2 linked regions of the Cricetulus griseus genome follow. The protein of the gene in region 1 interacts with the protein of each later gene in a pairwise test. Links are inferred from orthologs where the notes say so. Each region holds a gene or a part of one and is shown in the gene's direction. Other genes may lie near its edges. The genes, in order: Ptpn6 and Lair1.

The links.
Region 2: the proteins of Ptpn6 (region 1) and Lair1 interact in binary tests that used the Homo sapiens proteins (3 or more experiments, as listed by UniProt). The link is inferred for Cricetulus griseus from reciprocal best matches to the Homo sapiens genes PTPN6 and LAIR1.

What each region holds. Positions count from the first base shown.
Region 1 is NC_048601.1:21,676,220-21,688,500, forward strand, and holds the end of Ptpn6 (tyrosine-protein phosphatase non-receptor type 6), read left to right. Parts: intron 1-2,890; coding exon 2,891-3,080; intron 3,081-3,214; coding exon 3,215-3,331; intron 3,332-3,432; coding exon 3,433-3,546; intron 3,547-3,674; coding exon 3,675-3,771; intron 3,772-4,165; coding exon 4,166-4,245; intron 4,246-4,428; coding exon 4,429-4,578; intron 4,579-6,086; coding exon 6,087-6,218; intron 6,219-6,340; coding exon 6,341-6,495; intron 6,496-9,482; coding exon 9,483-9,550; intron 9,551-9,645; coding exon 9,646-9,797; intron 9,798-9,892; coding exon 9,893-9,984; intron 9,985-10,531; coding exon 10,532-10,646; 3' UTR 10,647-10,674; intron 10,675-10,853; 3' UTR 10,854-11,049; downstream 11,050-12,281. UniProt on the Homo sapiens protein: Tyrosine phosphatase enzyme that plays important roles in controlling immune signaling pathways and fundamental physiological processes such as hematopoiesis.
Region 2 is NC_048602.1:22,316,964-22,329,716, reverse strand, and holds the start of Lair1 (leukocyte-associated immunoglobulin-like receptor 1), read left to right. Parts: upstream 1-5,761; coding exon 5,762-5,795; intron 5,796-8,794; coding exon 8,795-8,830; intron 8,831-9,274; coding exon 9,275-9,390; intron 9,391-9,568; coding exon 9,569-9,669; intron 9,670-11,225; coding exon 11,226-11,467; intron 11,468-12,753. UniProt on the Homo sapiens protein: Functions as an inhibitory receptor that plays a constitutive negative regulatory role on cytolytic function of natural killer (NK) cells, B-cells and T-cells.

The sequences.
Region 1 (12,281 bases):
CAATCCCAGGAGGAGGCAGGAAGACCACAAGTTCAAATTCGTCCTCAACTACATAGCACTTTTGAGGCTAGCCTGGGCTACGAAACCCTTGACTTAAAAAACTGAAACAAACAAACAAACAAAGGTAGAACTTGAATGATTGGGGTAAAAGCCCCTGTGGTTCACCTCTGGAGATCCCTTTCCAGCCAACACGAAGAGGCTGGTCTACACTTCCTTGAAGGCTTTTCTCCTCTGGTGGTGGATGGAAAGGAAGGGCATGCCTCATGCTCTCTCCTTCCCCCTCCTACCTGCAACACTTAAGGTGGTTTGGCCTCTTGGATGCTCTTTTACCTCCTTGTCTCCCCTTGTTGCTGTCAAGCCAGGATCTGCTGTGTTAGAGGACACGGACTGTGGAGGCATAGCAGAATTGTAGCTGGTATGTTCACTGTGATAGGGGAGGAGGGGGGAGCTGACGGGTGTCAGGGAAGCAGGGTAGGACAGACAGGGGAAGCATGCAACACTACATGGGTGACAGACCACTGAGGGGTTTGGATGACTCCAAGAGGCACTTTGGATGACCCAGAAGCTCAGTTTCATCCCTAACTCTAGGGTGTGCGGAAGCCATGGCCCAATACTCCTTGTGTCCTTGCCCTGCCTCTTCTGGGAAATTTGCATTTGTCCCCTCAGTGGTGAACTCTGCCTGTGGTCAGTTCACATTTGCATGGAGACTTCCTCATCCTGTCCCTGAGGGAAGGAGCTGAGCCCCCTCACATTGCTTGGGGGCCCTGGGCTGTCTCCGAGATAGGCTGGGGTAGCCCAGGACATCTGGGTTGGGGTAGGAGCCTCTGAAGGGCCCTGAGCTATGGTGTCCTCTGGGCAGAGTTGAGAAGGATCAGGACTGAGCCCCACTCTCCCCACCCCAATCCTTGCGGTTGGAAAATGCTGCCCCCCCCTCTGTCCCTAAGCTGAAGAAACCTCACCACCTCACTTCTCACTCTCTCCCCAGAAGGAGTTTTGTATTTTTTCCATCACGTGGTTTCCTGTGAGGCTAGGCATTGTGGGGCTACAGTTTCCTCCTGGGAAGGGGCGCTTCACGGAAAGGTCCTTAGTTCTGCTTTCTGCCCTACAGCCCCTCTGAGCCCTTCACTCACACCATCCTGGGCTCCCCGGAACCCTGAGACTACCCTCTCAGTCAAGTGTTTGTGTCCCCACATCACTCCGGAGTTTACCATTGGTCCTTCCCGACTTCTGTCACCTCAACCACTGCCTTCTGTGCTTTGGGTCCATCTACATTTTACTGTCCCTCCTTTAACCCAGTCCAAGTCTGCATTTCATGGGGATGAGTCTTTTTGTCCCTCCAAATGTTCTGGGTTTTACTTGCCTGTTCATTGTAAACACTCAGAAGAGGCTCTGGATTTTTGTTAGAACATCCCCCTTCCCTCCCTTCTCCCTTGATTTCAGTGCTGGGGATGGAACCCAGGGTCTTCCATTCCCACTGAGCTATAGCCCCAGTCTCCATGGTGTGAACTCTGTGGAGCCTTTTCGCTTATCAGTTTAGGACCTAGGACCAGTGTGCAAGTGCTTGACCTCCATTTTCTTATTGTAAAGTTGGGGAAATGGCAATCTCTCAGCTTTTGTTTTGTTTCATTGTTTAAAAGATTTTTGTTATAGAACTTATGTGTCTTAGTGTGTGCAGAGAGATCAGAAGACAACCTATCAGAGTTGGTTCTCTCCCTCTACCATGTGGGTCCTGGGGATCGAACTTGGGTTGTGGGCTTGATAGCAAAAATTCTTACCCTCAGCCATCTCACTTTTTTCTTTCTCACATCTTTTCTTTCTTTTTCCCTCCCTCTCTCCCTCCCTCCCTCCCTTTCTTCCTTCCTTCCTTCCAACTCACTTTGCAGACCAGGCTGGCCTCAAACTCACAGAGATCTGCCTGCCAAGTGCTGGGACTAAAGGCGTGAGCCACCACTGCCCAGCTCTGCTGTTTCTTTTTTTGAGACAGAATTTTACTCTGTAGCTCAGGTTAGCTTGGAACTAACTCATTATGTAGACCAGGCTAGCCTCAAACTTACAGTTATCCTCTTATCTCTGCCAACCCAGGGCTGGAGTTACAGGTTATGTGTCACCACGCCTGGCTGTTTGTTTTGGAGATAGGATCTTTTTTTTTTTTTTAAAGATTTTATTTATTTATTATGTATACAACATTCTGTTTCCATGTATATCTGCACACCAGAAGAGGGCACCAGATCTCATAACGGATGGTTGTGAGCCACCATGTGGTTGCTGGGAACTGAACTCAGGACCTCTGGAAGAGCATTCGGTGCTCTTAACCTCTGAGCCATCTCTCCAGGTCCCAGAGATAGGGTCTTACTTACTCTGTAGCTCAAGTTGGCCTGAAAGTTACCATGTAGAGCAGGCTGGCCTCATTGAGGCCATTCAGCCTCTTGAATGCTGGGATTATAAATGTGAGCTAGGGCTACATAGAGAAACACTATCTCCAAAAAAACAAACAAAATAAAAGCAAGCCATCATAACCCACTTATTTATTTATAGAAATAGAAGCAGGCAGGTTTTTTGTTTGTTTGTTTATTTGTTTTTTGAGACAGGATTTCTCTGTGGCTATCCTGGAACTCACTCTGTAGATCCACCTGCTTCTGCCTCTGAGGGCTGGGATTAAAGGTGTGTGTCCCAACGTAGATCATGCTGGCCTCAAATTTACTACTATTCTCATGTTTCCTGAGGAGCTGGGATTCTAGCTCCAAGCCTGGCTTTTTCCTCACAGCATTTTTGTGAGATGTAATGGATCTAAACGTCGTGGTGGATTTGAAAGCTTGTAGCTCAGGCCTGGAAGGTAGCGGGTGTCAGTGCTCACTGTGGGACCTGCCCACCATCTTTTCAACGTCCCTAGGTGGTACCATGGCCACATGTCTGGAGGGCAGGCAGAGACACTGCTGCAGGCCAAGGGTGAGCCCTGGACATTTCTTGTGCGTGAGAGTCTCAGCCAGCCTGGTGACTTCGTGCTGTCCGTGCTCAATGACCAGCCCAAAGCTGGCCCAGGCTCTCCACTCAAGGTCACGCACATCAAGGTGATGTGTGAGGTAAGTCAGCTGGGCTGTGGGGAAGGCCTCATGCCGGACCTTCAGTGGGAGGGTCTTCTTGGGTTGGATTTAAGACTGGGAGTGCCAGAAGGGGGACTCGGCCCTGACGGGTGGCCCTACTTGGTGTCCTTCAGGGTGGACGCTATACTGTGGGTGGCTCAGAGACATTTGACAGCCTCACAGACCTGGTGGAGCACTTCAGGAAGACTGGGATTGAGGAGGCTTCAGGTGCCTTTGTCTACCTGCGGCAGGTGAGGGGCCAGCATCTTGCCTCTTGCTTTCCCCTGAGCCATCGAAGATGTGGGCTTCTGAGGTCTCTTAGCCGATGACTTCCTGCCCTTTGTCATCCTAGCCTTACTATGCCACTCGGGTAAATGCTGCTGACATCGAAAACCGGGTCTTGGAACTGAACAAGAAGCAGGAGTCAGAGGACACAGCCAAGGCCGGCTTCTGGGAAGAGTTTGAGGTGTGTTCTGGGGACAGTGAGGCTGGGTCACCTTGCCCTCTTTGTGTGCCTCTGACGTGGCTCTGACCTATGACTTCTCCACCTGTGGATGTGCCCCGGGGCGGGGGCTCATTTCTCTCACATTTCAGAGTCTGCAAAAGCAGGAGGTAAAGAACTTGCACCAGCGCCTGGAAGGGCAGCGGCCAGAAAACAAGAGCAAGAACCGCTACAAGAACATCCTTCCCTGTGAGCACTATGGCTCCGCCCCTCATGCCCCCGCAGACCCCTACCCATCCCATCCTCTCAGAAGCTCTGCCCCTCACTGTCCCCCCACTACGTATCCCATCCTCTCCTCAGAAGCTCTGCCTCTCACTGCCCAGCAGAGCTCTCCTTTCCCAGGAAGCCTCCTCACTTTCCAAGAGCCTCTCCGCAGCCATCGGGCAATAATGCTTGCCCTGCCAACCTCTGCTCACAAAGCCTCTGTCTCCCCCACCCCCCCACTCCAGAGGCATTTGTCCCTACCTGCTGTCCTATCCTCTATGAGTTTATGACTTTGGAGACAAGAACAGTTGAGAGCTTGGGAAGGGTCTGCCCCTTCCCAAGGGTGTGGCCCAAGCTGTTTCTTCTCTCCCCATGCCAGTTGACCATAGCCGAGTGATTCTGCAGGGACGTGACAGTAACATCCCTGGGTCCGACTACATCAATGCTAACTATGTCAGGGTGAGTGGGGTGAGCCGTGTGGGACAGACATGTCCCTGAGAGCTCCAGGTGTGTTAGGGTCCCCGGGTACAGTGCCTCTGGGGAAAACGAGCTGGTACCTTGGTAGGGGTGACTGTGGTACGGGCACATCTTATGCCCAGCAATTCACAGTCCCGGGCTGGGTCTCTCTGTGCTTGCATCTAGAACCAGCTGCTAGGTCCAGATGAGAACTCTAAGACCTACATCGCCAGCCAGGGCTGTCTGGAGGCCACAGTCAATGACTTCTGGCAGATGGTCTGGCAGGAGAACACCCGAATCATCGTCATGACCACCCGAGAGGTGGAGAAAGGCCGGGTAGGGCAAACCTCACCTTCCTGACCCCTACATTTTCCTCCTCAGTCCTTGTTCACCACCACACACAAGTAAGATCAGGGGCTTGTGAGATGGCTCACAAACCATGTGCTTGTGGCCAAGCCTGGCATCATGAGTTCAATCCCTGGGACCCAGGTAGGAGAGAACTGACTTCTGCAAACTGTCCTCTGACTGCTGCATGCATGGTGTGTAGTCAATGTGTCCCTATACATGTACACTCACACAGAAATCTAACTTACACATACACACCTCAGTGGCAAAGGCCCAGTACCTCTTAGGAAATGGAGGCCTGACATAAAGTCTCCACTATACACTGTGACTCCTGGGCACCCCAGGTCTCCTGAGCTCCGGATGCTCCGAAGTGATGATATAGCCCAGTGGCATTGCACTTGCCCGGTACAGGAACCCTGGGTTCTATCCTCAGCACCACAGAAGCTTTAAATGTCAGCCCCTTTGTGCAGTGGGAGGTTTTCCTACCAGAAGCACACAGCGTCCAGCTGCTTTCTTTGAAAATCCTTCTGTGGCTCCCAGTTGCTTCTGGGATGAAGAACTGTCCCTGCAAGCCTGGTGGCTTCCTTCCAATCCTCATGCTTCTCTGTAAAGCACATCTCCTCTGCTGGTCTGAGTGTGTCAGCTTCTGAAGGCACGAGGCGGTTTTTGCTAGGAAATGGCTCTCCTGGACCGCCATGCCTCCCAGACTATCCTGCATTGCCTCCATAGCCCTGCGGGAGAACTGGCTCCTTCCCTAGCCCCCTGCTCCTCAGACATGCTCTGTCTGTCTGTGTTACCTGCATCGCCCCTTGTCCTAGGACACGGACACTGTCTGACTTGGTCTTCTGGGTTTTGTAGTGCTAGGGATGGAACTCCTAGCTTTGTACACGCTAAGCACATGCGCTCTTGCTGAACTGTGCCCACTGTCTCTGTCTCTTACTTGAGTCTGAACCACAGCTCGGTAGGTACAGCGTCAGTGGTCACTGGATAGATTATACGGTTAGATGTCTGATCAGGTCTTATCTAGAGGTGGTTAGCCTGAGGCCAGATCCCAGGTCTGATTTTGAGTGGGCTCATCCATCTTTAAAAAACGTCCGGTGAGGGGTGGGGAGAAGCCTCAGTTGGGGAGCATTTGCATGAAAGCGTGAGGGCTGGAGTTCGGGTCCTCAGGAACTATTGTACATTCTGGGTGGGCAGAGGGGCTTACTCACAATTCCAGCTTTGGAAGGAGGATACAGGGGATCCCCAGAGAAGCTGGCTGGCAAGACTTGCCATATTAGCGAGCTCTGGGTTTGACTGAGACATCCTGCCTCAGTGAATACGGTGGAAGAGTGATGGAGGGTGACTCCCAGCATCGGTCTTCTGCCTCCACATCTCACCCTGCCCCCACGTTTGTGCCTATACACCTGTGCCAAAAAACCCAAAAACCTCACTAGGCCTTGGGGCCCAGAAAGCCCCGGAAAGCTCTGTGCTTTATCCCTTCCCATCTCTCTTTTCAGAACAAATGTGTTCCATACTGGCCAGAGGTGGGCACTCAGCGAGTCTATGGGCTCTACTCTGTGACCAACTGTGGAGAGCATGACACCGCAGAATACAAACTTCGCACTTTACAGATCTCCCCACTGGACAATGTGAGTGTCCCCAGTCCCTGCACACTCCAGGGGGCCTCGCCTCAAATCTGTGCTCTAGTTTGGGTGGGTGGGACAGGGATATTGTGTGGAAGCAGCAAGTACTGACTCTGTCCTTGGCCTAGGGGGACCTGGTTCGGGAGATATGGCACTACCAGTACCTGAGCTGGCCTGACCATGGGGTCCCCAGTGAGCCTGGGGGTGTTCTCAGCTTCCTGGACCAGATCAACCAGCGACAGGAACGCTTGCCTCACGCAGGGCCTATCATTGTGCATTGCAGGTAAGAGATCTAACATGGGTGCGGTGTAAAAACACAGCAGCTGGGGCTACAGAGGTGCCCAGCACCTACACAGTGATGTATATAACCTTCTATTACTTCAGTGCCAGGGGATTCAACACCCCTATAACCTACAAGGGCACTCATGCACATGGCGGACAGACATTCATGCAGGCCACACCCCCCACCTGCCCCCCACTCCCCGCCCAAAACAGCAGCTGACAAGCGGTCAGCAACACAGATAGGGACTCACTGAATGCCTTCCCTTACCCTCAATGTCTTCCGGGCTCCTTCACTACTCCAGGCCTGTGGGTGGACCCGGTTGTGGGTCCTTGTCACTGCCATTGCTGGGCATGGTGGCTAAACTTGTAGTCTAGCGTTTGGGAAGCTGAGACAGGAGTGTCGTGAGATCCAGGCCATATAAGTAAGATCTTTTCTTCTTTCCTTCCTTCCTTCCTTCCTTCCTTCCTTCCTTCCTTCCTTCCTTCCTTCCTTCCTTTTCTTGACAGGACTTCTTTGTGTAACAGCCCTGGCTCTCCTAAACTCACTTTGTAAACCAGGTTGGCCTCGAACTCACAGGAATCTGTCTGGCCCTGACTCCCCAGTGCTGGGATTAAAGGCCTGTGCTGCTACACCAGGCATAAGACCTTGGGAGGCAGAGGCAGGCGGATCTCTGTGAGTTCAAGACCAGCATGGTCTCCAGAGCGAGTGCCAGGATAGGCTCCAAAGCTACACAGAGAAACCCTGTCTTGAAAAGCCAGAAAAAAAAAAAAAAAAAAAGACCTGTCTTAAAAAAAAAAGTTTCTGTGCATCTGTGTGTATATCTGTGTCTTTGTGCTTGCCTGTGCGTATGTCTCTATGCATATGTGTATTATCTCTGTGTCTGGGTATGTATGGATATATGTACGCGTATATCTGTGTGTGTGTGTCCATGTGTGTTTATGTATGTATGTATGTCAGTAGTGTGTGTATGTGTTTCTGTGTGTACACCATTGATGGCTTCTTATGTACGATCTGGAGAAACAGGAACCAATTTTGTCCCCTTCCTCCTCTGTCCCTGTAACCCGAGGCCTGTGGAAGCTTCAGACTTCCTCCTTCCCCCACTAACAACTGTCCTGCAGCTAGGCTGGGAGTACCCCCATACTGTCTTGGGGGCCAAGCTCTGCACTCTACCATCTCAGGGACAGCTCATCCCCAAGAACTACCTTTCTCCTACCCCTCCCCCATTCACACAGTTCTTGAAATCCCCATGGCCTTTATTTAGAAATTACAGGAAGGAAGTGGTATGGGGTTTATTTTTGACAATCTGGGTTTGAAATTAGACAGCTCAACTTTCGATACCAGCCTCATGGACTGGACTGTAGGCAGGTCCGGGGTCTGCATCATCTGTTTCCTCAGGGTGTGGGAGGTGGGGGGTGGGGGTAGAGGGCATTGGAAAAGGGAGGCATGCTACTGCACTTTCTCTGCTGCACGTGTCCTGGGCCAGCCCCTACAGTTTTGCCATGTCGAAGAAAAGAGAAAGGAAGTTCCACAGAGAGAAAGGACAGCTGGGCGTTGGTGGCGCATGCCTTTAATCCCAGCACTCGGGAGGCAGAGAACTCACAGAGGATCTCTGTGAGTTCGAGGCCAGCCTGGTCTCCAGAGCGACTGCCAGGATAGGCTCCAAAGCCAGAGAAACCCTGTCTCGAAAAACCAAAAAAAAAAAAAAAAAAAAAAAGAAAGGACAAATGCCCCCCCACCCCGTGTATAGTGTGTGTGTGTGTGTGTGTGTGTGTGTGTGTGTGTGTGTGTGTTTCTAGGGATAGGACCCCAGGTTCTTAAGCATGTGAAACACATGCTTTACCACCGAGGCATACCCTAAGTAAAATGTAACTATGTGTGTGTGTGTCTGTGTGTGGTGTGTGTACATGTGTGGGCATTTCTGTGGAGGCCAGAGGTCCTAGTGTTTTTATATGGTCTCTCCTATCTATATATCTATACTTGTATCTGTCTGTCTGTCTGTCTGTCTATAGTGTATGTGTCTCTCATTCTATGTGGCTCAGTGGCCTAGAGCTTGCTAGGTAGACCAAGTAGGCCTCAAACTCACAGTCAACTTCTGTCTGCATCCTCAGTACTGGCATTAACACACCAGGCTCTCCACATTATTTTTTGAGATAGGGTCTCTCACTGAACCTGGAGCTTATCACTTCAGTTTGGCTGGCTGGCCAATGAGCTAACCTAACCTCCTAGTAATGGGATTATATGGCCACTGTGCCTGGCCTTTTTGTGTACACTGGGGATCTGATACCAGGTTCTCAGGCTTGCTTGCATGATGGCCACCGAGCCACCACACTCATCCAAAATGTAATTTGTTTGTGTCTTTCTGTGTAGACTGGGCTGGCCTCCTGAGTGCAGGAATTAAAATCATATGCCACCATGCCTAGTTCCAAATGGAACTCTTTTTTTTGTTTTTTGAGACAGGATTTCACTGTGTTGTTGTAGCCTTGGCTGTTCTGGAACTCACCCTGTAGACCAGGTTGGTCTCAAACTCGGTGGATCCACCTGCTTCTGCCTCCCGAGTGCTGGGATTAAAGGTGTGCACCACCAATGCCCCACTCCGAATGTAACTCTTGAAGGTTGGAATGCCCTGAGGAGCAGGCAGGACAATGGCATGGTGTGGAGTTCTGTTTTTCCAAGGGATGAGGATAGCCGTCAGTTAGGAAGAGTGAAGGGTGGGAACAGAAAGTTGGGGACAAATGCTGCGAAGGAGGGAAATGATATCTCTAGCCCGGAAACTGGCACCTGCTTGTCCATCCTGTGACTGGGGCAGAGGAATGGGAGCAGAGACGGGCATACACCTGCTTCGCTGGCCTAATGACCTGGGTACATTACCGACCCTTGTGGCTGGAGCTTTGGATTCTTCACACCTTACCTAGTGCTGGGGTTAACCCCTGGCCTCCCCATTTCCTGGGCAGAGCTGGGCCTCTGATGGCGGTGCCTTCTCTCTGCAGTGCTGGCATTGGCCGAACAGGCACCATCATTGTCATTGACATGCTCATGGAGAGTATTTCCACCAAGGGTGAGGATCCTGGGGAACGAGAGTGGGTGTGGGGGAGGGGCAAGCAGTCCCTTGACCTTCGCCTACCCTGAAGTCCCACTGCCACCCTTGTCCAGGGCTAGACTGTGACATTGACATCCAGAAGACCATCCAGATGGTACGGGCACAGCGCTCTGGCATGGTGCAGACAGAGGCACAGTACAAGTTCATTTATGTGGCCATTGCCCAGTTCATTGAAACGACCAAGAAGAAACTGGAGATCATACAAGTGTGTGCAGAGTGGGGCTGATGGGTGGTAGGGGAGAGTGGGCATCACCCAGTCGTGCTGGTACTACCATCCTCCCACCACACCTTTGCCCACAGTCCCGGAAGGGCCAGGAGTCGGAGTATGGGAATATCACCTACCCTCCCGCTATGAAGAGTGCCCACGCCAAGGCCTCCCGTACCTCTTCCAAGTGAGTGGTCCTGCTTGCCCTCACAACATCTTCTCCCTTCTCCTGCCTAGCCTTAACTGTCCTTTCTGGAGTGGACCAGTGTGGAAGTTGGAGAGACCCTGGTTCGAGGTCAACCTTCTTCCTAGTACCTCTGTTCTTAAGTATTTTCTTTTTTTTTTTTTAATTATTTATTTTATGTATATTAGTGCTCTATCTGCAGGCCAGAAGAGGGCATCAGACCCCATTACAGATGGTAGTGAGCCACCATGTGGTTGCTGGGAATTGAACTCAGGACCTCTGGAAGAGCAGCCAGTGCTCTTAACCTCTGAGCCATCTCTCCAGCCCTCTTAAGTATTTTCTGAAGTGTGCGTTGTTACTCTGTGTGGGCCCATGCTATGGCCCAGCTGTGGACACATGCGTGAGTGTAGTCTGTGTCCTGGGAGCTTTGGGTCTAGTGAATGGACAGTGAGCAGGTTATCTAAGCTTTCCTGGCTTCACTGAGTGAGAGGGAGTGTGGAGGGTCTGCAGAGTCTCTGAATGTCTTCTCCCCTCCTCCCTCACCTCCCAGACACAAGGAGGAGGTGTATGAAAACGTGCACAGCAAGAACAAGAAGGAAGAGAAAGTGAAGAAGCAGCGGTCAGCAGATAAGGAGAAGAGCAAAGGGTCCCTCAAGAGGAAGTGAGCTGGGCCTTCGACTGCAGGTGGCCATGGTGAGGCCCCTTCTGCGTAGTCTTCTCTCTCCCTGCCCCAGTTGCTCCCACAGCAGTTCTGACATGCTGTGGGGAGGTCACAATCTAATGCTACCCTGCCAGGATGTCCCCAGATCTTCTCGTGCCCTCTCTCCAGGCCCCAGATACCCTCTGACCCACTTTTTCTCTTTTATCTGCAGCATCAGCATCAGCCTCAATCCCTGCAGAGGCCTCCACTGGGCAGATCAAGACCTGTGGCCCCCACACACCAGACCTTAGGACCACCCCATCCTCATGTATTTAAATGGCTGTGGTCCTCTGAACCTGTATATAGCCCAGCAAGTCTTCAGGCAAAGCCAGACTTCTATTCTTGTAAATAAAGCCCCTGGACCACTGTGTGTTGCCTCCAACTCTGTGTGTCCCATGTATCCTGGGACTCTGGGCAGGGTGGGACCGGGATGTTATGTGTGATTGCATAGAAGCTCAACTTTGTGGCTCAGAGAGACCTGGTTCTGGATGCTGCTTCACACAGCAGCCTGTGGCATTCCTAAGGCTTAGTTAGACTGCTCTGTGTTCTCCCTCTCTCACTCATGCTGGGGATAGAACCTAGGCCTCCTATGTGCTTGGCAAGTTCTCCAGTCTCTACAGCAGAGGGTGGTCTGGATTCATCTGCCCTCGTTAGCTCATGAGTGAAGATACGGCAATACGGCGAGTGCCAATAACAATGGCCACTGCTACATTCCACACTGGCAATGGGCCCAGGCACTATTTAAAAGACTATAGAATTAATTAATCCTAGGTACTTTAGTTTCTGTTTTATTTATTTTTTTGTGGTACTGGGGACAACGCTCAGGCCCTCCCTCATGCCAGGTAGTGAACAGCTCTCTCCCTGAGCTATACTCCTGGCTCTCAGTCTGGGTACTCTTTATTTTCCTGCTTTTACAGTGGAGAAAACTGAGACACAGGGAGATCAAATTAACTTGTTCAACATTCCAGGACCACTGGCCTTCAGAGTCCATGTTCTCATTATCGTCCAGACTCAGCAGGGTCCACCCCAGAAAGATTTGCCATACAACCTGCTGTTGGTTGCTAGATCCAACAACTAGGAAGATTTTTTAGGAGGGACTGATCTAGCCCAGCCTCCCCAGATCTACAGTTCCCGAAGCACACGATGTTTTTTTGGGGGGAGGGGGGCAGGGCATCCCCCTGCTGAGGCCCTCATCTGGTCCCTGAAGATCATTTTACTATTTTGTCCCCCTTCCTTTCCTTTTGTCTAGAGCTGGGTTCTTTATATATAACTTGAATCTCCTGTCCCATTGAGTGTGCCAGCCATACCTTGGGAAAAGCTGGCTCCCACCACGGGAAAAGCAAGGGCAGCACACTGGCCTGAAGGCCTGCTGTGTCATGGGTCCTAGGGTAGTGCTGGGAGCAGTTGAGGGTGACAAGTTAGCTTATCCTACGGGGACTCAGTAGATGTCTGGGAGACCAAAGCCAGAATTAGTCCACAAAAATAATTACAACGGAAAAGTGCGGAGAACAAAGAGGAGAGAAAGGGACCGCTCTGGGCGTGAGCAACATGATAGCTCCCTGGAGCTATGGCCCTCCAGGGGGTGCATGGGTGGGGCCAT
Region 2 (12,753 bases), on another chromosome or scaffold:
GCATGTTATTAAAGATGTGGTAAGACTTAGCACCTCTACATGTATTAAGACTGGGCAAGGCAACCCACTATGAAGAGTAGAATACCAAAAGTCAGTAAAAGAGTCAGAGACAGCCCCTGTTCCCATTGTTAGCGGTCCCACAAAGAGAACCAAGCTACACAACTATAACATATATGCAGAGTGCTTAGGTCAGTCCCATGCAGGCTCCCTGGTTGTCAGTTCAGTCTCTGTAAGCCCCTATGAACCCTGTTTAGTTGACTAGTGAGTGTTTTTGTGATATCTTTGACCCCTTTGGTTCCTACAATCTCGAGAAACTTCTTAAGGGCTGGAGTCTTATATTTGGCTCCAGTGTTGTGACACTGGGATTCAAAAATGTCATTTCTTTCTGTCCCATGAGGGAGTCCTCTTGGCCAGGTGAAGCTGGGTACCCACTAATCACCAATAGACACATGAAAAACATATTTGTATTTACACAATGGGATTCTATTCAGCCATGAAGATGAAAAAAAAACCCATGAGAAATGAGAAACATTCTCAGGAAAATAGATGGGTCTGGAGTTTATTACATGTAAGTAAAATAAACCAGACCCAGAAAGACAGTTATACCACATTATCTGTTATATGTGCAATGCATATCACGTGCAACACACACACACACACACACACACACACACACACACACACACACACACACAGAGAGAGAGAGAGAGACAGAGACAGAGACAGAAACAGAGAGAGAGGAGAGAGGAGAGAGGAGAGAGGAGAGGAGAGAGAGAAAAGAGAGGAGAGGAGAGAGGAGAGGAAAGAGATTCGGGTTAAAATAAAATATAAGATTATATGAACTGGATCACAGTAGGACTCAAGGACTTTATTCTTTAAAATGTGCCAGTAAGAACAAAAACTGTCAGATGGGAGTTGGCATTCACAATGTATGGAGTTGACACAGAACCCATTTATTTGCTTGACAAGAAAAGAAACTTTTTCCTATTTACCTAAAATATAAGTCACTTAGGGAAAAAAGAGGAAATGAGAAAGACTTCTCAAAAATGCAAAGCATATCCAAATGGCAAAAATTATATGAAAGTTGTCTCAATCGTGTTAGTCACAGGCCTGAAAAAGTAAAACTGCAAGAAGGTTCCATTCCAAAAAATGATTTAGCTAAGATAAAACAGAGAAGCTTCAACAGCTGGTGAAGCCATGGGGCGACCAGACAGACCACACACTACACTCGGTGGGAGTTGATCATTTTGGAAAATGCATTGTAGGAATCAATGAGATGAAGATATTTAAGACCACATATAACAACTGCTAAGCTCACACCAAGACATGAGCAAACAAGCCCAAGTACAGCTTTCATGGATTCCACCAATGTTGCATCAATACACACGCACGCACGCACGCACGCACGCACGCACGCACGCACGCACACACACACACACCACACACACACACACACAGAGAGAGAGAGAGAGAGAGAGAGAGAGAGAGAGAGAGAGAGAGAGAGAAGGTATTGTAAACAGTCAAAACCTATGGCTAGAAGCTAGCTATAACTGTAGCCCTAATTGTGGCTAGGGAGGTAAGAGCACCTAGCGGAGGAACTTACAGTTGTTTTGCTAAACGAACATGCTTTCAAAGCACCTTTCAATATTTGTGTTTATGGCCTTATAATTTGTGCTGATCTCAAACTTGGTCAAAGAAACTTCTCATTGCAGCATGTAGTGGCTGATGTTTACACTCATAACTGAGAAAAGTACTGAGAATAACCACCTTAGAGTGCTCAGCCATAGATGGGACACCAATATCAACTTGTCCCTGCCCCCAAGGCTCAGGAACCATCATGGAAGAGGGGTAGATAGAGTGTAAGGACCAGAGGATGGGAGGGGGTCCTGTGAAATGCTGGACATGACATGACTATTAGGTCCTGAACTATGGTGATCTGTACAAGATCAAGCCAGTTAAAAGTCCAGTATGGATGGGGCAAAGCTCTTTAGGTCCCACTTGTAGCTTAGGTTTGACTGGCAATTGATGGCTTCCATGAGAGGGAGAGCCAGTTTACTTTAAGGGTGTGACCCATCGTAGGTTGGCCATGATCCAATGGATGTCTTTTCATCTAAGAATATTTTGGCATCACTAATTTGATTCCATGAGTATAAACAAACAAACAAACAAACAAACCCAACACAGCTTGTGGCACATGTCAGTCATTTCATAACTTGGGAGGTAAAAGCAAGCACATCTGGAATTCAAGGTCATCCTTGACTATATAGTGAATTAAAGGCTTGCCTAGCTATATAACACCGTGTCTTAAAAAGAAGGAGAAATTTAAAGAGGAATATATACATGAATAAAAGTACAAAATATAATATATTTAGTTCTATTCCATAAACTCTAACAATTTCTCTGATGAGGCTTGAGATATCTGGTAATCTATGTCATTAGGAGTTGGTTCATAATACATTTTTAAAATTTTCATACATGCCGCCAAAACACTCATGCACATAAAACAAAGGGAAAAATATGTTACAAGAAAAAAGTTTAAAGGGTTTTGGAGCTATGACTCAATGGTAGAGTGCTTTCCTGGCATGTGGGAGACCCTACATTTATCCCTTACTACTGAAGAAAGAAAAGATGGAGTACGGAAGGAGAGAGGAAGGGAAGGAGAGAGTAGGAGGAATTACAAAGATGGAAAATTTCAAGTTTTGATTTAGCAACTCAGCAACTTCCTAGAGACTCTGACTCTCATGTTTGGTTAGTGTTTTGCTTAGCGTTAGTTCATTCTGTTCCACAATGACTGTATGTAAGTCACATCCTGGTGATGTAGTTGACAGAAGTAAAGGAGGGCAAAAGCCTCCTTGCAACCCTCCCCCCCCTTTTTTTTTAAAGAAAGGCTTGATTTCCACTAAACCTCAATACATAAAATACATTTCACGTTGAGTATCATTTGGTTGTATTTGGTCATCTGAGCTGATTTGGGAAAACTGGGCTTGGCAACACGAGCTTTACCATCCCAGCTCCTTGGGTGGTTAGGAAGGACCATGGCAAGGTCAGGACCTGTGTGGGCTACAGGTTGGACTGTTTAAATGGTCTGAGTTCAAATTTTGTTTCTTCCCTGTCCATGTTCAGAGGCTCAGAACAGAGCTACTTACACAGAGCTAGGTCTTTGTTAGGACGGGGACTGAGCACAAGCTGTTTAGTCAAGAACCACCAGTGTCTGTTGGGAGCAAGGTACTGAGGAGTCACCGTGCCTGTCTTCAGAAACAGAAGACCTTAGAGACGCCACGAGAGGATGCTTCTCTTCTCCCTTTGCTAGTGGCAGGCAAAGCACTGCCTTTTCTGGCTTTGACATAAGGGTATCCATTCATCCTCAAACCCTGGGTCTGTCTCTTGTCTATTCAGTTCCTTTAGAATTTTGTTTATGTCACTCTGGCCCAAAATGGTTTCAATGGTATTGCAAGAATATAGAGAGGGAGGGAGGGGGAGGGGACAGAGAGCGGAAGAAAGAAAGAAAGAAAGAAAGAAAGAAAGACAGAGAGAAAGAGAGGGGGGAAGGGAAAGGGAAGGAGGAATGGGAGGGGGAGATGGAAAGAGAGCTGGCTAGTGTTTTGTCAGCTTGACACAAGCCACAGTAATTTGAGAAGAGAAAATCTCAATTAAGAAAAAAGCACCCATCAGACTGACCTGTGGGTAAAGTTCTGAGTCATCTTCTTGATTATTGATGGATATGGGTGGACCTAGCCCACAGCGGGAGGTGCATCCCCTGGTCTGATGGCTCTGGGTTGTATAAGAAAGAAGACTGAGCAAGCCAATAAGAGGCCTTCCTTCCCAGGCTCTGCTTCAGTTCCTGCCGCCAGGCTCCTGCTTTGAGTTCCTGCCCTGATTTCCCTCAGGGATAGTGTTTCCTGAAAGTCTAAGATGAAGCAAACCCTGGCCTCCTCAAGTTGCTTTTGCTCGTGGTGTTTTATTGCAGCAATAGAAAACCTAGCTAAGAAAGAGAAAAGGGAGAAATCTGTTTTCTTAACATTTTCACTGTGCGGTTCAATATCAAGTTATCTTAGAGTCATTCTTATGGATTGACTAAAAATACTCTCTGTTGATAAATAATTTCCCCATTTTTTTTTCCTTCTGGTAGACAACATCACGAACTTTTCTTTTTATGAATTTGACTTCTTATCCGTTTTACAGTTTTTGAGATAGACTGGCTCAGAACTCACTGTGTAGTGCAAGCTGGCCTTGTACTCACGGTGATCCTCCTGCCTCATCCTCCCAAGTTCAGGGATTTCAGGCAGGCCTCAGCACGTCCAGCTTGAATATGTCTACTTAACATACTTCATGTGAGGGGAACAATGCAGTGCCTGCCCTTCTGGGGTTGTTGGTTTCATTGGGTCAAGGAATTTCTGGAAGGTCCAGCCTTATGCTGTTTTTCCTTCGGCATCATTATTATCTTCTCAGTTCCACTGTGTACATACACCACGCTTTTTCATGTGCGCTTTGGAATTATTTCTCCACCATAGCCCTTGTGAAGAGTGTTGCAATGGTTACACGACTGCTGACATATCACTTCCATACTTATTTCATCCTGTTACACAGGTTCTATTTTTAATTTCTTATTTTGTGCAATCTTCATGCTATTTCCAAAGAGGAAGGGCTCTCTTCCCTCTGATTTATACATTTTACCCCCACTAGTGGCATGGAAGGAGAGCCACAGGTCCCCCAAAATGATCCTGACTAATTCGCTCTGGGTTCCTGTTAACAGTATGAAAAAGATCCAATTTCTCCACTCCTGTTATCTCTTAAAAATATCATCCATGGCTGGAGAGATGGCTCAGTGGTTAAGAGCACTGACAGTTACTTAGAGGACCTAGGTTCAGTTCTCAACATCCATCTGGCAGCTAACAACTGTCTGCAACTCCAGTTCCATGGCATCTGACGTCCTCACACAGCCACACAGACAAGTGAGACGCCAATGCACACATAATAAAAATAAATCTTAAAAAATGTGGTCTGGGTCAGTGAGATGGCTCAGTGGGTACAGCTGTTTGCTTCTGAGCCTAAAAAACCAGAGTGCAATCCCTAGGGCCTACGTAGTAGAGGGAAAGAATCAACTTTAGTAAGTTGCCCTCTGACTCCTAGTCACACACATCAGTATTATTTAATAGTAAAAGTGATTGTCCATAGCTGGACACATTTAATGTGTGAAATATCTGCTTGGGCTCTTACAAAGATTGTAACATCAGAGACAGAGACATCAGCAACAGAGACAGAGAGAGAGAGAGGGGGAGAGAGAGGGAGAGAGAGGGAGGGGAGAGAGAGACAAGAAAGAGAGGAGAGGGAGTGAGAGAGAGAGGAGAAGCAGAGAGGGGAGACTTTATGATGATTCTCATTTTAAACATTATGAAATGGGGGTTTTGGGTGTTGAAATACCTTACCCAAGGATCAATGGTCATTTGTTCCTAAAATAAGGACTGATGTGTAAAATCTTATACCTCTGTGTCTCACATGTTTACAGCAAGACAAACGTGTTGAGCAATGAGTTTGGTTGCACCTGAGCTCCGAGGTCTGATGTTATTCTCAGAATCTGATACCTTCTCAAAGAGTCAGTGACTAAGGGAAAGAGTGGAAGCCCAGAGGAGAAACCTCTTCCTCTTCACGGGAGGAAACTGATATAGAAACCTTGCGACTAGCTCCAGTCCACACATCCTGCTTACTGTGTCGGCTGCAGGGCTTCAGCTCCAGACCTGGTCAGGCTGCTGGAGCCCGAATCATGTCACTTTGTCTTGCCACGGTGCTGGCCCTCGGTGAGTCCTGGGGTAAATGGAGGCATGGGGCAGGTGATTTGGGGAAGGGGGTTCTATTCCCCACTCATGCCAAGCAGATTCTGGAGACCTTGGGAGGAGAGTCTCTCCAACCCATCTCCTCCTTGGAGACTTGTTGCTAGAAACAGGGATGGGGCATGTGGCCAAATTCAGCCTTAAAAATCAATTAGGAAGAGCCTGTTTGGAAGGAGAAGATGAGCTGGGGACATTTGTTTTTCCCAGTGTTGGAGTTTGAACTAAGGGCTGAATGCATGTTAAATAAGCGCAGTATCACAGTATTCCATAAATCCAAGCCCTTCTTTTATTTTTTAAGATCACAGATGATAAGTGTTACTGAACACCCTTGTTCAGAGATTATTTGCTTTTTAAAACGTTTTTGGATTAGTTTTTTGAGTTTCCTAAATGACTCTCCCAACTCTTTCAAGACCCGCCTTCTTCCCGACCCACTCAACTTTGTTTCCATTTTCATTTTTAGTTTACTTACTTTGGTTTTCTTGAGACAAGCTTTCTCTGTGTCGCTGTCATGGAACTCTCTTTGTACACAGGGCTGGCCTTGAACACACAGAGACCCACCTACCTCTGCTGCCTCCCAAGTGCTGGGATTAAAGGTGTGCACCACCACCACCCGGCTCCTTTGTGTCCATTAAAAAAGAAGCCCTTTAAGACCAATTTGCGCTGCCCAAATATTGCCATGTGTAGTCTAGCACTGGAGCTATGTTGGCCAGGCTGGATCTCACTCATAGAGCTTCCTCTGCCTCACAAATGCTGAGATAAAAGTTTGCTCTACTACACCGAGTTCCCGGGGCTACTCTCTTAAAGAAAACTGACTTTCCCTCTTCCAGCAGCCGGCAGTTACCATTAGCTCCAAGGCTAAAGTAGGGAGCATGTGCCTAAATATCCATTCAATTCTGGTATTTGTCTGGCCTGGGCTTGCACAGGTCTTGTGCACGCTGTCACAAGCGTTGTGAATTCGTATGTGCAGCTGCCCTGCTGTGTTCAGGATACACTGTAGTCCCCCAAACCATCTACTGCCTCTGGCTTTTATGTTTTTCCCACCCTCCTCTTCCTAAATGATCTCTGAGACTTGGGAGGAGGAGATGTATGGTAGTATGTTCGCTTTAAGGCTGAGCATTCTGTAGGCTGGTATTCTCTACATCTTGAGCAGTTATGGGTCTCCGTGCTAATCTCTATCGACTGCTAACAGAAACTGCTCAGATGAGGTAGGGGAGAGGGATGCATTAAACCATGGGCATAATGATAAATACACTTTTTGTTATTTCTTTGAAAATTTCATAGATGCATGTAATATGTTTTGATCATATTCATCCCCATTTTTGCCTGTAATTCTGTACCCACCCCTTCCTCCCGGATTTTGCATCTCCTTTATTTTTCTTAATAATTCAATGAATATAATTCATGCTTCCTGTATACTCAAGAGTATGGGGCCATCTGCTGGAGCTTGTTCAACCCACCATAGGCCACACACCCTTAGAGAAAATTCTCTCTTCCCCAGAAGCCATCAACTGTAAATAACTCCTCAGCTTAGGAGTGCAGACCTTGTGACCCCTCCCCTCTCCAACCCAGCACTCATTTTACTTTTTTCCATTTTTATTAGACATATTAACCAGTTTATTATAGGCCTGGCAGAGTAGAGAGAGTAAGAAAGAAGAGAAACAGGGTTAATGGCTGACCGCCATGGCCAGTCACCATAGAGAGAGAGAACGTGCGTAGGTGGGAGAAGAGAAGAGCAGAGAAGGAGAGAGGAGAGTAGAAGAGAGAGAGAGAGAGAGAGAGAGAGAGAGAGAGAGAGAGAGAGGTAGGAGAGAGACAAGAGAGAGAGAGGAGAGGGAGAGAGAGAGTAGAGAGGAGAGAGGAGAGAGAGACACAGAGAGAGCAATAGAGACAGAGAGAGAGAGGGAGAGAGGGAGAGAGAGGGAGGAGAGAGAGAGATAAGAGAGAGAGGAGAGGGAGCTCGAGAGAGAGACAGTGACAGAGACAGAGAGAGAGGGAGAGAGAAAGAGAGACAAGAAAGAGAGAAGGAGAGAGAGCACCCTTTTCCATTTTTTAAATTTATGTTTCTCTCATATAATACATCCTGACAGGAGTTTTCCCTTCCTGCATTCCCCCGGCTCCCCCATCTACTTTCCATTTCCTCTACATCCACTCCTCCTCCAGTATCTTTTCAGAGAAGAGCAGTTCTCACAGGGGATATCAATCTAATATGGCATAGCAAGATGCAATAAGACTAGGAACAAACCCTCATATCAAGGCCGGCCAACGCAACCCAGCAGGAGGAAAAAGTCCCAAGGGCAGACAACGGAGTCAGAGACACACCTGCTTCCATTGTTAGGAGTCCCACAAAAACCCCAAGAAAAGCAACCATAACATACATGCAGAGGTCCTAATGCAGACTCATGTATGTTCTGAGATAGCCGTTTCAGTCTCTGTGAGGCCCCATGAACCGGCTTTGTTGATTCTGTGGGCCTGTTCTCCTGGTGTCCGCAACCCCTCTGGCTCCTACAGCATTTCCTCTTCCTCTCCCTCGTGGTTCTCCAAGCTCCACCTAATGTTCAGCTGTGGGTCTCTGTATTTGCCCCTGTTGTCTGCCAGAGGAAGCCTCTCTGATGACGATTGGGCTAGGCTCTGAATTAACTCCATTTTACTTTTGGTTTTGGGACATGGTCTAACTAAGATACTTGGGCTGTAGTCCAAGTCACATTGTAGCCCAAGTCATACTTGAACGTGTGACCCAGTTGCATACCTGGGATTTTGAGTCTGTGTCTCTGTCTCTGGCCTGGGGGGTAGTTTAAGAGTTCTTTCAGAGATAGAAGGAGGACTATACTCTGACTTTAATGGGGAGGAGGGATGGTTGGGTGATCATGGGAGGCTGGATGTCCCCACCTACATCTAGTCCTTCCTAGATTCTCATGTCTAAACAAACCATGTGTTCAGTGTCTTTCTCACTGGGTCTTTTCTTTCAGTGCTGTGCCTGGGACAGACAGATGACACAGTAAAAGGTGAGTCCTGTCTTTGGCTGCTTCCACACCCATGGGCATCTTTGGAGAGGATCGTGTGCACATGGGTGGCCTGGAGGGAGACCCTTCAATATTTCTTGTGATATTCCTCCCAAATAGATTCTCTCAGCAGTCATTAAATGCTTGTAGCTCTTCATCGAGGCAAGGGGCCCTGTGAGATTTCCCTCATGCAAGCTGGGATGTCAACTGGTGTTGTCTTTGTTCAGGACACGTTTAGGCAGCCATATTATTGAGGCATCATGGGTGTAGCTCCCAGTCATGTTGGGAAGATACACTCTTACTGTAGATGTCCTTGTCTTCTGGATTTCACAGTCTTCCTGTTCCCTCTTCTGTGATGTTCCCAGAGCCTTAGTTACACAAGCGTGCTGCAGATGTATCCATTGGGATTGGGCCCCCATTATCCGTTGTTTTCTGCGTTTTGACCAGAGGAGGCTTGCTCTAATGGCCTCCAGGTGCTGCAGAAAGAAACTTCTTCCATGATGGCTGAGAGCCCCATTTGCCAGTCAGAGGCTAGAGCCCTGGATGAGAACCCTGGGCCTGAGGTGGGATGTGTCTCAGTCTCCATAGTTTGTTTTGACACAGAATCAGACCACTGTGTTTCTCAGAGCTGGTGACTCCGACTTAAGCCACTCCCTTTGTCCTTGAGAGGTTTGTTTAGAGGTTCTAGCAGGGGAGAGCAGCTACTCCTATACCCTTCACTGAAGACCTGTCCTCTATTAGGGGAGCAGCAGAAGCTTCGGGAGGGCCAAACATGGATTGGTGAGGGAGGAAGGGGACACCCGCCTAGGCAGCCAGATCAGACGAATCAACCCTGGCCATCAGTGGGGTGACAGATGTCGCAGCCAGATGGCCCTCACATTTGATCCTCTTGTCCTATGAGGCTTGCTTGTCTCTAGGTTCTTCAACCTTCTTCCACTTTCCCTAAACACTCCAGGCATCCACGACACTCTGGGGTATCTCATAGGATGAATTTTAGAATGACAAAAATTGCATGTGTTTACCATATCTGACTTCATATTTGGAAATGAATAGATATTAGAGAATGACCAAATCAAGCCAATTAGTAATGATTCATCCCACACATTTCACTTTGTGGAAAGCACTTAAATCAAGCTCTCAGTGACTCCGATGGACAGGAGGCCTTGTGTTAATCATCCTTGGTGTATCCCGCAGCTGAGCTCTTGAACTGCTTCTCCTTGTGTAGCAGAGAGTCTGTCTGTGGCCTCTGAGAGGCACTTTATACAGTGTTTTCTCAGTGTTTGATTCTCCATGTCCCTGTCTGCTAGGCGCAGGGTGTTTACTCCTGTTTTTTGGGTCTCAGTGCAACTATCTCTCCCCTGTCATTTCAGGGAGGACACCTCTGATGTCACCTTGTCACTTGAGATTCCTATGCTCACCCCTCACCTTCTCTGAAGTCTTTGTGCCTCAGTACTGGACAGTTATTCTCTCTACACCAGTCTTCCCTCCCATGTTAGCTTCAAATGGAAGAAATTGTGTTCCTTGTGTATGTGAGGCCATAGAAACATAGAAAACAACCCCCAAATGATGACTAAGATACAAAAAATGGTTGAAAGAACGAGTGAAGGAAGGAGAGAGGATTAGGAAATGTTGGTCTAAGGGCAGAAAATTTTGTTTACACATTGCTGAGGGCAGGAGGTCAATTATGCATCATGACTACTGGCAACTATGCATTTGTAATCTCGGAAATTGCCAAGGGGTGTGATGAATGTTATCCTCACAAAAAGGTAAGTTTGTGATTTTATCCACATTGATTATCTTGATCCAGCTGTTCCACAAGTTACACCAAGACATCACCTTGAACACAATAAATGTGAGCATCTTAAGTTTGTCTTTTGGCATAAGTATACTTATCTGTGATTTTCTGGGGATGCTCCTACATTCAGACAGCTTGAAGCAGGTGAGCTTTTAAAGCCCCAATAACAGACTGGACAGAAGGAGATGGAGGTAGAAAGTGCAGAGTTCCCTGGAATGAGGTGGTTCCCAGTGAGGCAGTGGGCTCTGTAGCAGACATGTCCAGTCTGGGATGTTCTGAGATTTCCTTGGATGGGTCTTTGCTAGACCTAAATGTGCTTAGGCTTAGGTTCCTTGGTGTCATGTGATGGGCATTCAAATGCACAGAGAAAGTGAGGGTGTTATGAAGGTGCACTTTGGTCATGAGTGGAGAACTCTAAACTTGGTAGGAATATAGACTGATGTGCCTAAATTGGTTTTGTGTTGTGACAATGTCCTGCCTGTGTACACTGAGATTCCTGCTCTGCTCTCTCCTAGGATCTCTGTCGGCTCCTTCCATCTCTGCTGAGCCAGGCCTTAGCATCCCCCTAGGGCATACTGTAACCTTTGTGTGCTCAAACCCTAGTGGGTATGATGTATTCCGCCTGGAGAGGAATAACATGAAAGTCAAGGATGAGGAGAACACTCTCCATTCCATGACAGAGGCTAGATTCCACCTTGGCCCAGTGGATGAAAGCTTTGCTGGACGCTACTCCTGTATTTATGAGAAAGGGTCCAACTGGTCCCCACGCAGTGAGATCCTGGAGCTGATGGTAACCAGAGAAGATGTCACTCAGGCTCCAGACCCAGGCCCAGCAGTGACCTCAGGTTTGTTCCCAGGTCTCTGGACTTGAACCTTAGCTGCTCTCCCCTGCCTCAACTTCCCCTTCTTTTTCTTAACCCGAGGCTCCTTTCTCCCACCTGCCTCTGCACAGGTCCCCTCTGTCCTTAACCCCCAGATTTCTGCATTCTTACCAGCCCCCATGAATGACTTGGATACAGTCTGGGGGTAGGACACTGAGTTATTCCTGATTACTGGGTAGGGACTGAGCTCCAGCAATGGTGGGTGTAGACTCCTTTCTGGGAATACATGTTTTCTTTTCTTTCCACCGGGCTTGGTGATTTATCCTGTCCTTCCACTGAGTCTGAGCCCTTGGGGGCTGAAGGAATATATCTCCTCTGGAGTGGTACCATCTCACCAAGCGGGTCATACAGTCAGTCCCTGGAGGGCTGGCGGGCAGGGCTGGACTATTCTCTTGGGAGTGCTTTCTTATGGCCTGCCTGTGGTCAGGCCTCATTGTACTGGGGTCAGGATACAAAAAGAAGTTATAGTCCATTTCCATGTCTTCCCACAGCTTCCTAGGAGTTTCTCAGTGTTTATTGTGTGCAGATCGAGTGACAGGGTTTACAAAGGAAGGACCAGTATTCAACAGGACGGATTTAGGAAGGCCTCTGCCGTATTTCCTGTTTCCCCTGTCCTGTCACTTCAGGTCTCTCTCATGGTCTGCGGCTGAGTGATGGGCAAATCACCCCTTTGAATCCATACTTAGGGTGGAGAAGGGGTCTACATAGCTCTCCTCATAAGCTTTGTCTTGTTGCCGGTGTTGTAGTTTATAACGGGTTATATGCTGGGTTCATGTCCTGACTAGCTTCCTGCTTAGCTTTGAAGCCAGGCTTATACTATCAGACTCTTCCTCCTCCTCCTCCTCCTCCTTCCTTCCTTCTTCCTTCTTCTTCATTTATTTTTTGTAGTTGTTTTATTTTGAGACGGGGTCTCTATAATTCTGACTGTCCTGGAACTTGTTTCATAAACCAGACTGGCCTCGAACGCACAGAGATCCTCCCGCCTTTGCGTCCTGAGTCCTGGGATTAAAGGCGTGCGCCACTATGCCTAGCAACCCTTCTATCTTAAATACGGAGAAAATGAACGTTCTTGGTCAAGGATACCAAGTTCTGAAAACTGCAGGACAGAAGCAGTGCCTGCAGCCACACCCCAGGCCTCCGCCTGCGCAGCTCTATGCTGCCCTCTTGTGGTGTTAGCCTCACTTCTCCCATTTGTTCTGCGCCATGGAGCCTGTTGGGTCCCTCCTTGCTGGCGACAGTTAAGGGGACTC